Linked DNA regions of Oryzias latipes. The protein of the gene in region 2 purifies or fractionates together with the protein of the main gene of each other region. This does not show direct contact. Links are inferred from orthologs where the notes say so. Each region holds a gene or a part of one and is shown on either strand. Other genes may lie near its edges.

Evidence for each region.
Region 1: the proteins of ebna1bp2 (region 2) and nop56 purify together in Homo sapiens (affinity purification with mass spectrometry; 4 studies listed by BioGRID and IntAct, with this or other methods). This does not show direct contact. The link is inferred for Oryzias latipes from reciprocal best matches to the Homo sapiens genes EBNA1BP2 and NOP56.
Region 3: the proteins of ebna1bp2 (region 2) and brix1 purify together in Homo sapiens (affinity purification with mass spectrometry; 4 studies listed by BioGRID and IntAct, counting the BioPlex papers as one, with this or other methods). This does not show direct contact. The link is inferred for Oryzias latipes from reciprocal best matches to the Homo sapiens genes EBNA1BP2 and BRIX1.
Region 4: the proteins of ebna1bp2 (region 2) and ncl purify together in Homo sapiens (affinity purification with mass spectrometry; 3 studies listed by BioGRID and IntAct, with this or other methods). This does not show direct contact. The link is inferred for Oryzias latipes from reciprocal best matches to the Homo sapiens genes EBNA1BP2 and NCL.

The regions. Positions count from the first base shown.
Region 1 is NC_019863.2:17,294,790-17,299,180, forward strand, and holds the start of nop56 (nucleolar protein 56), read right to left. Parts: upstream 2,872-4,391; 5' UTR 2,755-2,871; coding exon 2,752-2,754; intron 2,266-2,751; exon of another isoform or gene 2,247-2,265; coding exon 2,157-2,246; intron 2,071-2,156; coding exon 1,956-2,070; intron 1,698-1,955; coding exon 1,533-1,697; intron 1,317-1,532; coding exon 1,118-1,316; intron 806-1,117; coding exon 618-805; intron 565-617; exon of another isoform or gene 444-564; intron 376-443; coding exon 224-375; intron 48-223; coding exon 1-47. UniProt on the Homo sapiens protein: Involved in the early to middle stages of 60S ribosomal subunit biogenesis. Required for the biogenesis of box C/D snoRNAs such U3, U8 and U14 snoRNAs. Part of the small subunit (SSU) processome, first precursor of the small eukaryotic ribosomal subunit.
Region 2 is NC_019862.2:16,837,927-16,842,386, reverse strand, and holds the start of ebna1bp2 (probable rRNA-processing protein EBP2), read left to right. Parts: upstream 1-1,520; 5' UTR 1,521-1,629; coding exon 1,630-1,725; intron 1,726-1,917; coding exon 1,918-2,001; intron 2,002-2,119; coding exon 2,120-2,283; intron 2,284-2,836; coding exon 2,837-2,960; intron 2,961-3,500; coding exon 3,501-3,590; intron 3,591-3,695; coding exon 3,696-3,771; intron 3,772-3,866; coding exon 3,867-3,957; intron 3,958-4,043; coding exon 4,044-4,206; intron 4,207-4,299; coding exon 4,300-4,347; 3' UTR 4,348-4,460. UniProt on the Homo sapiens protein: Required for the processing of the 27S pre-rRNA.
Region 3 is NC_019870.2:9,826,566-9,830,944, reverse strand, and holds the start of brix1 (ribosome biogenesis protein BRX1 homolog), read left to right. Parts: upstream 1-1,451; 5' UTR 1,452-1,495; coding exon 1,496-1,633; intron 1,634-2,283; coding exon 2,284-2,395; intron 2,396-2,479; coding exon 2,480-2,523; intron 2,524-2,597; coding exon 2,598-2,668; intron 2,669-2,759; coding exon 2,760-2,809; intron 2,810-2,889; coding exon 2,890-2,963; intron 2,964-3,244; coding exon 3,245-3,295; intron 3,296-3,424; coding exon 3,425-3,526; intron 3,527-3,630; coding exon 3,631-3,759; intron 3,760-3,964; coding exon 3,965-4,213; 3' UTR 4,214-4,379. Other genes in the region: dnajc21 (dnaJ homolog subfamily C member 21), read right to left, coding at 565-661. UniProt on the Homo sapiens protein: Required for biogenesis of the 60S ribosomal subunit.
Region 4 is NC_019862.2:11,722,576-11,724,962, reverse strand, and holds part of ncl (nucleolin), read right to left. Parts: coding exon 2,371-2,387; intron 2,195-2,370; coding exon 2,111-2,194; intron 2,067-2,110; exon of another isoform or gene 2,010-2,066; intron 1,932-2,009; coding exon 1,808-1,931; intron 1,363-1,807; coding exon 1,226-1,362; intron 1,138-1,225; coding exon 1,011-1,137; intron 876-1,010; coding exon 739-875; intron 571-738; coding exon 441-570; intron 399-440; exon of another isoform or gene 264-398; intron 30-263; coding exon 1-29. UniProt on the Homo sapiens protein: Nucleolin is the major nucleolar protein of growing eukaryotic cells. It is found associated with intranucleolar chromatin and pre-ribosomal particles. It induces chromatin decondensation by binding to histone H1.

The DNA.
Region 1 (4,391 bases), on a different chromosome or scaffold from region 2:
GCCAAGTTGGTCAAACTTCCAGCATGAGAGATCAGTCTAGCTCCAACCTAAAACGCAAGAAAACTATGAGTCGGAACAAAATTCTGAAACTCTGAGCTTAGGAAAATGTGCAGAGGACCATCAGCACCGATGTAGTTCTCATCACACGGATTCAGGGGATTGACAGATTTTGGCAAAACATCATTGGTCCAAGAAACAGACAGAGACACAAGCGTTTCCTCACCACTTCTCCAATCAAGGCTGCCAAGTTTGGAGCGACCTGCGACATCTTAGAGCGCAGATACTCCTGCAGCCCCTGGCGATACGCAGCCAGGGACACAACACGGTTGGAAAACCTCTCAATGTTGATCAGGTCAATTGGAGAGATGTCCATTCCTGAAAGGGAAAAGACGATAGCTATGAACAAAGAAAAGGACCAGTTTGTATTTTGAGCTGCACTGTGGGATTGTTTCTCCCGACAGGATCCGCAGTGAGGAGGACACGCCTTCACTACAGGTTTATGAGAGATATCATCTACCCCCCTGTGTTAGGCACCCAGGACGATTATCGGTCCAGGGTGGGCATAAAAGGGGCTTATAAGATCAACGCTACAGTAGGGTACTGGCTTAAATTCTGACCCATAGAGGAGCGAGACGCCTCCAGAATGGCCTGAGCTTTGGCACTGTCCATCACCACCTCCTCCAGGCTCTCCAGCTTCTCCTCTGTGAGCTCCTTCCTGTTGCCAATGAGCTGGGCCAGGCGGCAGTACATTGAGTTCTCTGAAACGATCTTGATCAGCTCCGGGAAGTGGTAGCCATACCATTCCCTGGAGTGCACAAGGAAACAAACTATGAATATCCTGTGTGATATAACCCTTCAAAACTAAAATGCACACGTTAGGGAAAAACCAGACAGGGAAATGTATCCCCCCAAACAGTGTGGCGTTACGAGATGTCAGCAAGTACCGCGCAAATGTTAGGAGAAGGCTGATGTACCTCCTGTTTCTATACAGACAACACTCTGAGGTGCACTGTCTGTGGTAAGCATTAGGAGGACACTTTATCTTTCAAACTTTTATAGAATTTAATTCAGTTTTACCCTGGAACCAAAACAAAAACATCCTAAACAACCAGCTTACCGCACACGCATGGAGAAAGTGTTGATGTCTTTATCCAGCTGATCCAACAAAGCAATGGACTGGATGATCATGTTGTCAGCCCGATTCACGTTAAACTTGACCTTCGCTCTGGAGTAGCTGTGACCCAGACCAAGCTGTGCCTTGGAGGCGGCGAGAGAGGTCAGACCCTTCACCAGAGAGTGGAAGTGAAGGCGAATACCTGCAAAGTGAAAGCAAACAGGAGGGTTTGTGGGCGCAAAAGGAAACTGCCACAAAACCGGAAACATCTGGGGGCTGTTCAGATTTTCAGTATAAACCATCACAAATGTCAGGATCAAAAGTGCATCACAACAGACCACCCCTTTTTATATTAACATTCACAGTAATAAAGTAATAACTGAGTTCACGTCTGTATTCAAACAAAGACATAACGCACCTCTAGTTATCTCAGCCACCACTCCACCGGTTTGTATGGAGATGTTCAGTTCTTCTTGCAGCGCAGCTCCGATCTTGGCATCAGAAACCCCTAAAGACGGCTTCTTCTTTCCAGATAGAGCAAGGTTTGTCTCCAGAAACAGCTTCAGATCAGCATGAACGACGCCTGCATTGGAAAAAACATCGCAACCTTTAGCAAAAACACAACCCGTAATCCAACCATGCAGCCAGCAAACACTTCTTATGCACCAGGAAATAGTCTTAATCACTAAAAGATGCATGAATAAACTCAACTTTTCCCCAGATGTTCAGCAGTAACATAAAAATATCATCACATTTTATCAGTGGATTGACAGATTGTAAACCATCATTACAGCTGAGAATCTTAAAAAACAAACCCATTCAGTAAATAAATACGACTTGCCTTCAGAAATTGCGTTGATGTTCTCCAGGGCGGCCTGGGCGGACTTGAAGGGGAAAAAAGCAGCCAAGCTCACCATGCTGTTGAACTTCCCGATGCTCAGCACGCTCTCCTCCACCTGCGACGGACACACAGACACCGTTCACCGCTCTGATCCACTCCCGACAACACACCAGACCGGGACACGCAGGAGAACAGGCTCACCTGGGGGAGAAGCATGCCGATCTCCTCCACCTCCTTCACGGCGAACAGCGCGTAGCCCGCCGCGTGCTCGAACAACACGTGCAGCAAAACCTGCGAAAGGTACATTTAAGTAAGTAACAATAAATCCCTTTAAGATTTATCCCAAATGACATTTGTAGTAAAAGTGGTTTTATTGCAAGTTGATTTAGGCAGATATGAATTACTTTAAACTGGAACCACGTGGTGGCTTGTCGAACCCACGTGTTTGACCTGGGCCCAGGCAAACTTGCTATTAAGCTAACTAATGCTAACTGCTTAGCGATTACCCCTTCACGCGGTTTTAAAATCCTTCAAACTCTGTATACATAATATATTTTGACTAACACAGCTGTTCATGTACCTTTTCACCAATTCAGTCTGTGGCTGTTAAAACAACTTTAGACACTCCCGCCTATTCTTTCCGCACAGGCGGCTAGCCGCAAAAAACGGTCGTCATTTTTTCCCTTGACTTTTTAAACGTCATTTGAACAAGTACAAGGGGATTTATCGCCTCTGCGTAGCTTCAAGTTGTTTCTTCAGAATAAAGGTGGCGGTGCACAAGAGTCATTTATCTTACCATGATGGCTAAATCTGCGCAGCGGCACACAACGTGTCTGCTCCGCTGCTTCCACACACGAAAAGAGAGCAGAAAACTTTGACATGACCCACATCTCGCGAGATTATACTGGCTCCTCCCTCTCCGCCTTTCTTTCACAGCTGCTGCGAGCTTGGCTTCACCTCTTGTTCACAATTATGGCACCTCCGAATTTTTTTATTGATCATCAACCAGTGCATTACATCACATTTTTTATTTTTATTGGAGTATTTATTGAATTATTTATTTAAAGCATCAAAATATAGGAATAATACAATAGAAATGACAAAACCTATATATATCTAAATTATTTCAGATTTGAAGTAATACGTTAATTAGAAAGTAAAGAAAAATAACCAAAGATAAAAGAAAATGGTGCCATCTCATTTTCTTGAAAGTGTAATAATCACAAATAAACATCTTTGCAAAAACAGTATACACAAGTCTATTCAGATTCATTCATCTGTATAGAAGTGTCTACTCACATTTAAGTCACACATTTTTTATCAAGAAGCTTTTTCAGTAAAAGTAATCATTGGAAATCATTTTGCATGGGCTTTGGACAGGCTTGGACAAATGTCATATTTTCCTCTGAGTCTTTCCAGTCTAGTATTTTTTATTTAATTTCTTCATTTAGGTATTTTATGGTTAAATTGCTGCTTACTCATTTTTTACACTAAATTGCTGCATGTCTTTTAATCACTAAAAGCACTTTTATTTGCTTTTATCAAAGCTACTTTCAAATCTAACTGTCCTAAGTTGATTAAAAGGTACTTCGCTTAGAAACATATTGTGGACAAAAAAAGGTAAAGAACTATTCTTTTGGACAGAAAGTAACTAAAGATGAAATGTTGCTGCAACAATGGAAAAATTATTTTAAATGTATTTTAATCCGAAAAATGCATTTTTTCTTCTTGAAAGCTTTTCATCAACAGGAGTGTTGAGATTTAATTATTCAAACACAGACCTGACACTCCAAAGAGACTAAATTACTGAAAATATAAAGAAAACACTAATCAGCAAAACATGTTTATTTGCAATAAAATACAATTATAAAACATATAAAAACTGTATAAGGCAGGTTGCATTACTTGCTGAGAAAAAAACTATTAGTTGGTCCAACTTTTACATCAAAAATGTGAATTATATCATGATTCTTTAACAGAAATATGACAAACGTTTAAAAAGCTACAAAGAAAAAATGAGCAAAACCAACAATAATGAATGAAAACAAAAATGGGAAAAAAGGACATCAAAATGGATGTGATTTATCTTTTTCACGTACTTTAAACATTATGAGGAATATCTTTTTATACAGGATAGTTCAAATTCCTCAGATGACTAAAACCAGGATTTCTGTACCGTACAACTGTACAATAAATAAACTGCAAGTGCAAAGTGATGGAAAAATGTAAAAAGGTTTCATGTGTCAACGTGTTAACGTGTTTTTACTACACAGGACTCTCAGAGCTGTGATTACAGACCCGTCACATAGAATTGTTATATTTCAGGCAACACACTCTCACCTCGACAGCAATAAAGCCTAACCACAATGCCATTTTGCTTTCATTCAGGAAACAGTTGAGTGTTGCATTTAATAACAAACCATCAATAAAGCTCTT
Region 2 (4,460 bases):
TCGTGAAGCCTCAGAAAGCAACAAGTTGCTGGAGCTTTATAATCACAACTGACAGGTTAAGATGCATGAAAAATCTAAAATGGGCGGGGCTTGTCCACATGCACACACTCAAATGTTACAAACACACCTGTTGGCTCCAAAAGTGTTCACACACAAATAAGTCTACATGGATACCACTTACATTCACACACGCATACTTATGCATTCAGACTAACACATGTGAAACATTTCATTCAGTCACGCAAACTTGTGCAAAGGTGAGATAGCACCTGTGCTCGAGTGAGTGTTTATGTTCTTCTGGGGTGGATGATGGAATGTAAAAAGAGAGACAGAGCCCAGCCGCCCCCCCACCAAGGCCCCCACCGCAGCAGCGGCAGCAGCCGGGACCCCTCAACACCCGCACAGTACAGCAGATAGAGAACGCTCATGGAGTCAATGTCAGGAAAACGCTCTCTTGTCTTCGGGTGTGTGTGTTGTTTTTTGAGAATACCAGCAACAACAATAACAAAAGCAATAATAATAATAATTCTTTCATTCATCATCTAAAACCGTTAAATCCCTTTTGGGGTCGCTTGGCTGCTGGAGCCTATCCCAGCCACTTATGTGAAAGGCAGGTCACCAGTCTGACACAGGGCCACAATCCCACACACACTCCCATTCCCACCAAGGGACAGAGTAACCAATTAACCTATGAAGCATAAGTCCCTGGGGGAACCCACAAATGGACGAGGAGAACATGCATACTCCACATAGGGAAGTCCAACCATAATAATGATGATTCATTCATTTATTCATTCATTCATCATTCATCTTCTTCTGTTTTGTCCCAATTTGGGGTCACAGGATGCCAGAGGCCAATCACCGCCAATTGTGCGCGAAGGCAGGGGACACCATGGACAGGTCACCAGTCTTTTGGAGGGCCACAATAACACATTCACTCTCACACTCACACCTAGGGACAATTTAGAGTTGCCAATTAACCTAGCCAGAGACCCCAGAGAAAACCGGGGAGAACATGCAAACTCCACACAAACAGGTCCCCCATTGGTGTTCTGGTTCAGGTCCCCCAGCCGGGACTTAAACCGGGGGCCTTCTTGCTGTGAGGCACGGGCGCTAACCAATGTTCCACCGTGCAGCAATAATGATGATGCTGATAATGATATTATTATTATTATTATTATTATTATTATTATTATTATTATTAATAATAATAATAATAATAATAATAATAATAATAATAATAATAATTTTTTTACATTTTTGTTTTACACTAACATGTTTGGTGGCTCTCTCCAGCTGAATTTGAAAGACACTTAGGTTTCACCTTGTTTTCTTTTTCTGCCGGTTGAAACTGCGGGTAATATTTTAATTTGGGAAAAAATAAATAAATGAACAACCTTGATAATAAATAAATTACCATTGCATTATTATTCTTGAGTGTAACAGTGGAATGTATTTTCTTTTTGTAGGAACCTTTTGTTTTGATCGCAGTTTTCCACCGGCGCACTCTGCTTGTAGAACTTCCGATGACGTCATTTCTCCCCGCGTGAACGCTAGTACACGTGAGGAAAATCGAAGCGTCCAAAACAATTAACTTTTCTTGGTTGTTTGGAAAGATTTGCCCTCTTTATGGTTATAGCCGTAAACACGATGGAGTCTGCAGAAGAGGAGTCGCTTCTCGGCCTGGATTCAGAGGAAGAAGGCAGCGAGTTATCGGATGGAGAGGTGAGTTTTTATGCTAACCGGACTCAAGCTCTGATAGTTGTTCAGCTAAAAGTTATCATTATATGATGTACGCTTTGGGGATTTGTTTTCCCCTTTTTTAAAAAATTGGTTAAAGTTATTGTCTCTGAAAGATTTGGTCTAAGTGATTATTCTAATTTACGAAAGGTAATGTATTAATTTATTTAACTGTAGCTTCAGGAAGCCTTCACCAAAGGGTTGCTGAAACCTGGAATGAACGTTCTGGTGGATAAATCTAAGAAATTGGTAAACAATGTGGTAAGTTGGTTTTCTTACAGTTTTAGTTACACCTGTGATGAAGCTACTACTCTTAAATTAAGAGAAAAAAAGTGTATTATTTATAGTGCATTTATGTGAACATGTTTAATGGCTGCAGGAGGGGTTAAAAGAGTGTCTTGCTGACTTCCGGAAAGACCTCTCCTGGGTGGAAAGGTTAGACCTCAGCACTCTTCCAGTCTTATCCCAAGTGGAAGGGAAAGTTCCTGCTGAGATAAATGGAGGACCGGATGCAGAGGATGATTTCCAGAGGGAGATGTTCTTGTAAGTGACCACTGTGTTCTAGACCTCGGGTTCAAAGTATTATCATAATCTGGGTTCGGTTATCACATTTGCAAAACATTTCTTTACCCTGTCATAATTGCAATCTGCAATTTGTTCTTACACATTTGTACGACTGCATGTCATTGTTGATCCTAATTTAGAGCTTTGACTAAAGATACTCCACACACCCAATAAACCTGACATTGGTGCTGGTAAAAACACATCATGCGTGTTTTTATTTTTTTCTAATAAAATGACATTTCAAAATATTGAGCTCAGGATTCAGATTTGAATTTTTTTTTAAATCACCGGTGGGAATATTTTGTAACAGGATTTTGTAATGGTCATATGGTGTTCTAGGCTACAGCTTTTTTTTCTTTAAAGGAACTTTTTTTAAAGCAACCATTTACAGTTTTCAGAAACGGGAAAAAAAAGAGTTATTGAAGTTTTGATCTAATGAGGAAAAACAAATGACCAGGTTTGTGTGTTTGTGTTAAACTGAAGTGATGGCTGTTTAAACTGATGATGTCATTTGTTTTGTTTTCTTTTACAGTTACCGTCAAGCTCAAGCCACAGTCCTGGAGGCCCTCCCTCTCCTGAGGAAGCATGACATAAACACCAGAAGGCCTGATGATTACTTTGCAGAAATGGCCAAGTCCGATCAGCACATGCAGAAGGTGACTTGCTTTCATTCATGCTAAAGGGGGTGTGCTTTCTAACATGTTCTAAGCTCCAAACATTAATCATGGATAGTACTTGGCAGGAATGTGGCTTTCTGTTTATTTGTAGCAGATGTCTGATAGAAAAGTTAAGCTGGACCTTTGTAATATGGATGGCTGTGGACCCATAAAGACTAAAAAGCTTTAGGAAGATGCAAATTCATGAAGAAATGGCTTGAAAAATATGGATTACTTGTGTTGATTGTTAGTAATTACTATAGCAAACTGCACAGTTTGCTGAAAGACATAGATGTGGCACAGAAAGGGTCAAGCGGATCAAAACGCATGTGTAGAGAAAGAAATAGCCAGACTCCAGCTGTTTGTTTCATTTTCTTTGTACGGATTTGTAGGTTTTAATTGTTCTTTAGAAGGTTTTCAAATTCACTTCTGTAAATCTGTGGAGACCCTGTAATAGGTTTGTGAACAAAATGCAGTCTTTTACTTTACAGGAGTTGGAAAACAGGAACAAACCTGTTTTGTTTTGTTTTTGTTTTCCAGATCAGGCAGAAGCTGACCGCAAAGCAGATGATTTTGGAAAAGTCTGAAAAGGCCAAGAAACTGCGGGAGCAACGGAAATTTGGCAAAAAGGTTTGTTTTTGCTGAGACTTGTTCTTAACCGCCTCTCACTCTGTAGATACGAAGACGTGTTTGTGCTCCAAATGGTGAGGGAACCTCTGTCTGATTGTTTGCCAGGTCCAAATAGAGGTGATCCAGAAGAGACAGAAGGAGAAGAAGGCTATGATGTCTGCTGTAAAGAAATACCAGAAAGGTGAGGACTTGGGTTTTGTTTCTGTGGCCATGATATGTACTTTGTAATTGTTAAATGCCAAATCTGATGCATTCTTTTACATTTTCTTATTCCAGGAATGTCAGATAAACTGGACTTTTTGGAAGGAGACCAGAAGATGGGTAATAATTCTTCAGGAGGTCCCAGTAAAGCAGTGAACAAAAAAGGGTAAAGCTTCTCCCCTCTGCTTTTTTCCTCTTTTGCTTCTGTCATATTTTCTCTAAATTCCTCTGGTTTTCCCTTGGATTCTTCAGCCCCAGTGCTAAGCGGAAATACAAGGACCAAAAGTTTGGTTTTGGAGGCAAAAAGAGCGGGAAGAAGTGGAACACCAAGGAGAGCTACAACGATGTTTCTGGTTTCAAAGCCAGAGTGGCGCACGCCAAGGGAGGAAAGAAGGGCAAACAAGGAAAACAAAACGTGAGCCACACAGACAAAACCAAAGATGCATTTATTTATCGTTAAATAATTTGTCAAGTTGATGTAACCCGAATTTTTCTTCTGGGCTTTCAGAAACGTCCCGGCAAATCTGTGCGCAAGAAGATGAAAGGCCGCTCGTAAACACCGGCTGGACCTGGACTGTGGTTCTGATCGGAACCTTTTTCTGTCTTTCCAGAGAGACTTGATGGAGACTCACTCATGTGGACTCGTATGGAAGATTCAAACCGCAAAGA
Region 3 (4,379 bases), on a different chromosome or scaffold from region 2:
CTTCAAATGTTTAAACAGGGATTCTGAAAATGTTGTCATCATCTTGGCCCACAGTGTTTACTAATCATTAAGTTAAAATATAGTTATGCTGTGGAAAAAAATCTCATTTAGGCCTAGGTTGATCTTCCTGATGTAATGGAAGTTATAAGATACAGGGCAGAAGACACTTACAGTAATAGTAATAGTAGTTTATTCAAGGGAATTTATTTGAAAAAAAGAATGTGGTTATTCACAGTTAAAAAGCACGAATTAGTCAAACTCTAATTTCCTCTAAAGTCCCCAGGCCATGATGTAAAAAAAAGCCCAAATACATATACAATAAATGAAAATAAAAATAACATATACAACGGATCTTGAAGGAATACAGCTTTTATTTTGTAACGTTTTATGTTGATGGGATACTCATCGCGAAAAAAAACATAATTACAAGCGTCTCAACAGACTCTCTTTCTCCAAGACATTTTAATAATAATAATAATAATTAAAATTACAATAACAAATGCTTTGATTAATAGGATCTTCCCATCCAGCCGCCGGCAGAAAGAAACTGTTTTCAACACTTACCTGGATGCCATTTTAAGGCTAATTTTCGATACGCTTTCTTCAGATCGTCGTCTCCTGCGTCTCGTTTAACACCCAAAATATCATAGTGACACTTCATCTTTATAAAAATGTGGCTTTTATCTTTTTAAAACACTAATTCTTATCCACGTTGTACCTTTAGCATTCACTCTGCAGTTGCCGCATGCTAGCAAACAGCTAGCCTCTCTGCTATCTATTAGAGGAATAAAAAAGGTACTTTTTATTACATTACAAAAGTCGTGTTATAATTAAACCTTCCATGTCCAAATCTAAGGTTTATAATTCAAATAATTAAAGAGTTGTCAATTTTGTTGTCGTCAATTTGGACAGTGTTACGAGGATTTGAATACTGACTTGTCTTAATGCCGCTAAATCTCGCGAGAAGTATGTGCCACGTTTTCTTCTTCTACGTAGAAGCTAAATTTCTGGTTTGAGTTTGCTGCAACCTGTGGACCAAAAAAGCGACACTTTCTACTCATACAATTTTGTTGATTTGCGTGGTCATTTTTAATGTATAAGTCACCAGATGGGGTTTAATTCTGTTATATAAGCTGGTTTAAATAATATTTCCATCCATGGTTGACATGATACATACGGACGTTTTGCAGAAAATGTAGAAGTCTTGCACATTTCTTAAAACTCTATTTTATGCCTAATGTGAGAACATTAATCTGAAACACGAATCTAACTGTCTGACTCACTGCTGTACCTGTTAAATACTGTCAAAAATCACAACAGATGTTTTTTTAGACGTCTACGCACAGCTAAGAAAGCTGAACAAGGACAAACTCAAATTTACTTTTCTCGTTTGCAGTACAGCCTCCACGCCGCTAGGGGTCTCTACTTCGACTTCGACTTGCTTGGATTACCTTTTTGAGCGAGCTTTCTGAAGAATCTTGTCTACTGTAGAAACATGGCGGCTTTCAAGAGAAAACGTGGAGTGCATGTTACAGCTGAAAAAACAACAAAAAAGGTTAAATTCGTCGCAGATGATGGGAACACCGAACAGAACGCGGTAAATGAAATAGTCGTCCCTAAGCCGGTTTCCATGGTAAGTGCTCGCAGCTTTTAAAGAAGAGTATTAGCCTAGTTTTAGCTAACTTGCTAATGGTTTTTCAGTGTTGTTTTCACTGACATGATATGTCTTGTTCGGTTTACTATATGTAAAAGTGCCACGGAGACTAAAAAAGCAAACTATTTCAAAAGTTTAAGATGCAGCATTTTAATCTGTGATCTGTTAAGGCAAGAAAATACTTGGTTACATTTACGAGTACGTTGAGAAAGTTTATTAATTCAATAATATAAATATATAAATAAACTGAAAACATCCTCAAACTAGGACAAAATTATACTTTCAATTACAAAAAAATGAAGGTCTTTATTGTTTATAATTTCATCCGACAAAAGTCAAGAAGTCTTTGACATCAGGCAGCCTTATTGCCAAAAACTCAAACCAAAAGATGTTCCTTAATAATACCTGTAATTAGAATGATGTCAACATGCTAGCATATATAAGTTCAAACTGTCGCTCTGTACGTAGTTGGATTTGTTATTTTATCTATATTACTTTTTTATTCGGGTTTATTTCGGGAAAACTACATTTGACGTCTACTTGAGAAAAATTTTCAAATTCATATTTTTCTTTTCTAATGATACCCGCCTCTGCCTGTGATCATATCCTAACGTCTGTCTCACAAACAGGGAAAATGGACCAACAAGGAACGGGTTCTTATTTTCTCCTCCAGAGGAATCAACTTCAGGACGAGGCATCTGATGCAGGACTTGAGGACCTTGATGCCTCATTCAAAAGCAGGTAAATAACTCAATATGTTTAGACTGAGAAGCAGTGACTGCAGGATGAGCAGAAAACACGTCACTTGTTTTGTTTTCTACTTAGATACAAAAATGGACAGGAAGGATAAGCTGTTTGTTGTCAATGAGGTACGCCTGCAGTTGAAATTGAGCTACTGTGACCTACTAGAAACACTAGATGATGTCTTTTTTTTTTTCTGCAGGTCTGCGAGATCAAGAACTGCAATAAATGCCTCTTTTTTGAAGCCAAAAAGAAGCAGGATCTCTACATGTGGTAAGTGTCTGATTCGAGGTTTACACACGCTCCTGAAGTTTTTATTTTTATTTTATTTGAACAAAGTTTGACACATTTTAACACATTTCAGGATCTCTAATTGCCCGCATGGACCTTCTGCAAAGTTTCTGGTTCAGAACAGTAAGTTTTCTACTCTTGTAAATCAGTGTTATGTAGAAGTGTAGCGTAAATGCGATTGACGATGTTTTGCTTCCTTATAGTTCATACTCTGGCTGAACTCAAGATGACAGGAAACTGCTTGAAGGGATCCAGACCGCTGCTCTCGTTTGATCCTGTAGGTAACGTGGAGTCAGAAAAGCCAGGAAATGCTTGACAAGCTATTGTTCCCCTTTTTTCTGCCATCAGTCCAGATTTATTATCAGGAAAAGACAGCTGTTAAACTTAAACAGGTTTTTAAACCATTAAAATAAGGAAGTAACACAAAAAGCCCTAAAAATGTCTGTCTGTTGTTTTTAGTCCTCAGAATGATCCAGCTTCCTGTTTTTATGTTGGAGAACATACATTTATGCCATTTGAAGTTGTACATTTTGATTTCTTTTTCTTTTTCTTTCACAGACATTCGATAAGGAGCCCCACTATGCTTTACTGAAGGAACTTTTTATTCAGGTAGGATTTAGAAGCACTTCATCCTCAGTATTACATAAAGGGTTCAGGGGGGTTATGTTGGTTTGGAGATGCATGTTTACAAAACAACTGACATTTTTAATTTAAAGGAAGAACTTTTTTTGCTTGTAGACCTTTTCCACTCCCCGCTATCACCCAAAGAGCCAGCCCTTTGTGGACCATGTCTTCACCTTCTCCATCGCAGATAACAGAATATGGTTCCGAAACTACCAGGCATGTTGTCAAACTTCAGAAAATGTGGCCTAAAACCTCATTTCAGGTGGTTACACCCACTTAGAGGCAACCTGTTGCCTGATTCCTGATTATTCTGTGCTCAGATCATTGAAGAGGACGCCTCATTGGTGGAGATTGGGCCTCGATTTGTCCTCAACCTCATTAAGATTTTTCAAGGAAGCTTTGGAGGACCGACACTCTACGAAAATCCAAACTTCAAGTCTCCTAACTTGGTAAGATATGATGAGGCATTTGTCATCTGAATTCTAACTTTTCCTGAAGTATTTATTGTTGGTATGATGGACGTTTGCCTTCAGACGGTTTCTAGTGCATTGATGTTCCTAACCTTAAAGGTTCCTGTACCTCAGCGTTCAGTAGAGCAGTGGAATCGGTGCGTGCAGGCAGTTGAAGGGTTTTTCTTGTGTCTTGTGCCGACAGCACCGGCGACAGCTCCGCCTGGCGGCTGCAGCAAAGGTCCGTGAGAAGCAGACTTTAAAGGAGATGCAGAAAGTGAAGAGGAGCGCCGCCAAAGAGGATTTGGAGAAAGATGTCACAGCTGACGTCTTTGTGACACCGGCCGACAAAAAACCTGTTGAAATTCAGACGGAGCCCCCTGAGCCTAAAGCTGAGAAGAAGCACAAATTCAAACCGTCCAAGAGGCAACGGCAGCAGATGGCGCGCAGATAATGGGATTGAGCTGAGATTGAAGAACTTTCTCTCATCCAAATCACCCGCAGAGAAAACATGATTCCCCCCGAATTTTTTTTTTGTAATTCTCCAAGTTTTCCTCCTGAAGAAAATGTTTGTCTCAAGTGTATTACAACAATTTATGAACCGACAACTTCTGCTTTGT
Region 4 (2,387 bases), about 5.1 Mb from region 2:
CTGCGTTCTCAAACTCTATAAAAGCAAAACTAGAGCAAAAAAAAAAAACTAACATTATTACCAGGCAACACAGAATGCTGCTTCTGATTGATGAAGTATTGACATTCAAATTTATTACAATTGGTATTTAGCTACTGAAAATACTGAGAACACTAGAAAGATTTTTTATTGAAAACAATAATTTATACAGGTACAATTTTATTACAACTGTTTAAACAGCTTTCTTAAATTATCATTTTATCAAATATTCATCAAATCAAAATATTTGTTGCACAGCAGACATGGGCAACACCCATAAGCATGTAGGGCGAGCCTGTTTTGATCTGTGCACTGGCTCTGCTTCTCGTGCGAATCCGTACAGAATCATGGATGCGATTGAGAGGAGCTCATGAGAAGGTGCTCTAGAATTGTAAACAATAACCGTCTTCTCCAGCACTTACCCTTTAGGTCTGCCGTCCCTTTGAGGAATCCTTATGGAAGCTGCTTTTTCAAACGTAGACTGTAGAACATCTTCTGTGGCACTGAAGGCCAGATTATTTACAACCAACGTTTTGTTGACTCCTCCTGATGCTAAACGGCAACAAAAAGGGTAGAAATTGTTCAATTCCCAATTAACTTTCATCACACCTAAGCAGGTTTTAAGGTTTGAGCATTTGAACCAGTTACTGAGTACATATATTTAAAGGATTTTACTAACAGTTCTGGGTAGTTACATATCATCAATACAGGACTCAGTACCTGACATTCTGCCACCTTTTTGGCTCTTATCTCCAACAAAGTCTAAAATGATGGACCTCCCTTGCACATCGGCTCCCTGGGCCTCCTCCATCATCTTCTCTGCGACAGCTTCAGATTTGAATTCAATGTAGGCAATGCTGCATTAAAGAAACAGAAAAGCTGATATGAGGACAAGGTAAGATATAACTAGAAACAATTGGGCATAAGGCTGGTAAGTTATTTTAAAGATTTCAAACTATAAAAGTGACTTCTGTAATTGAGTTTTTTCTTACCCTCTATTTGAACCGTTTTGTCCCTGAGGTAACCGGACATCAACCGCATCTTCAAACAATTCCTTCAGGTCATCAACCGTGGCAGAAAACGGAAGATTTTTAACAAAAAGGGTCCGCGCATCTCTCTCTGTAGAACCAATATCAATTTTAGAAAAACACTGATAATACAGACTTCAAACATTTAGCAGACAAACTTTGCAAAGGTGCATGTTTACCTTTCTTTCCTTCCTGTGAGTTATCTTTCTGACGGGCCTTGTCCAGCTTTAGTTCTTGACCCATGAATTTCTTGCCATTAAGCTCCATTGCCTTGTTCATGTCTTCCTCTGAGGCAAAGTCAACGTAGCCAAATTTCCTATTGAAGCAAGATGCAAAATTAGAAAATTAGACCTCAAATTAAATCTACCTTAAATGAACATCAAAGGTTTTTGGCTGAACTCGTGAATTTCTTTATTTAAGATCACAAAAACATTTGAGTTGTCTTGAATTCAGTCGCTCTTCTCCAACCCCTAAAAATGAATCATTGCAGGATCGCTATATCACACATTGTGAAGCAAGCAACAAACATTTTGAACAACACTCTTAAAAAGCTTAAACTTGTGGTGCAATGCAATTGAAACCGGGGTAACCATATATTTATTTGAGTTAAAACAAGTGAGCCATGAAAGGAAGCAATGACCAGGAAGACCTTTAAAAGGACAAAGGTTCCCAAATGACTGTGGGGAAAACACCCCTACATCTCAGGTTTTAACACACATTCTTGTCCGGGCAAGACGTGTGTGTTTTTTTTTTAAACTTACTTGGAACCTCCTAACCGGACATCAACAATCTCTAGACTGTTTTTGGAGAAGAATTTTCTGAGCGAGGCTTTGATTTCGTCAAAGTCTTTGTTGGAGTTGAGGTTTCCAACAAACAAGCAGAAGCCTGGAAAAACACAAAACAACAGTTTTTACAATCCAAATGTGGGTGAAAGCAATAAATGCAGAATAAGGCCAAGCATATTCAGAATAATTCAAGGTGACATCACACATCAGTATTAAGTCCCTTGTTGATCATCATGAGAAATAAACTTCAGAATGATAAACCAACATGTCTGTACTTGCCTTCTCCATCAGACTTTGCTTTCTTAGCAGGAACTGGTTCTTTCTTTCCATCTGCCTTTCTCTTTGCAGCTTTAGCTGGGGCTTCTGTTCAGACAGAAAAAAGACTTTGTACAAAGTTGTATGCAGGAAATGTTTAATTTTTTTTCAATGCAAAATCGAGACCAAAAATATTTGTTACTTATATTCATGATGTGCTGTCTTAGCATTAGTTTAACCGTGAGTTTATGCTTTAAAACTATGCAACATTTATCAACACTCACCTTCCCCCTCTTCCTCT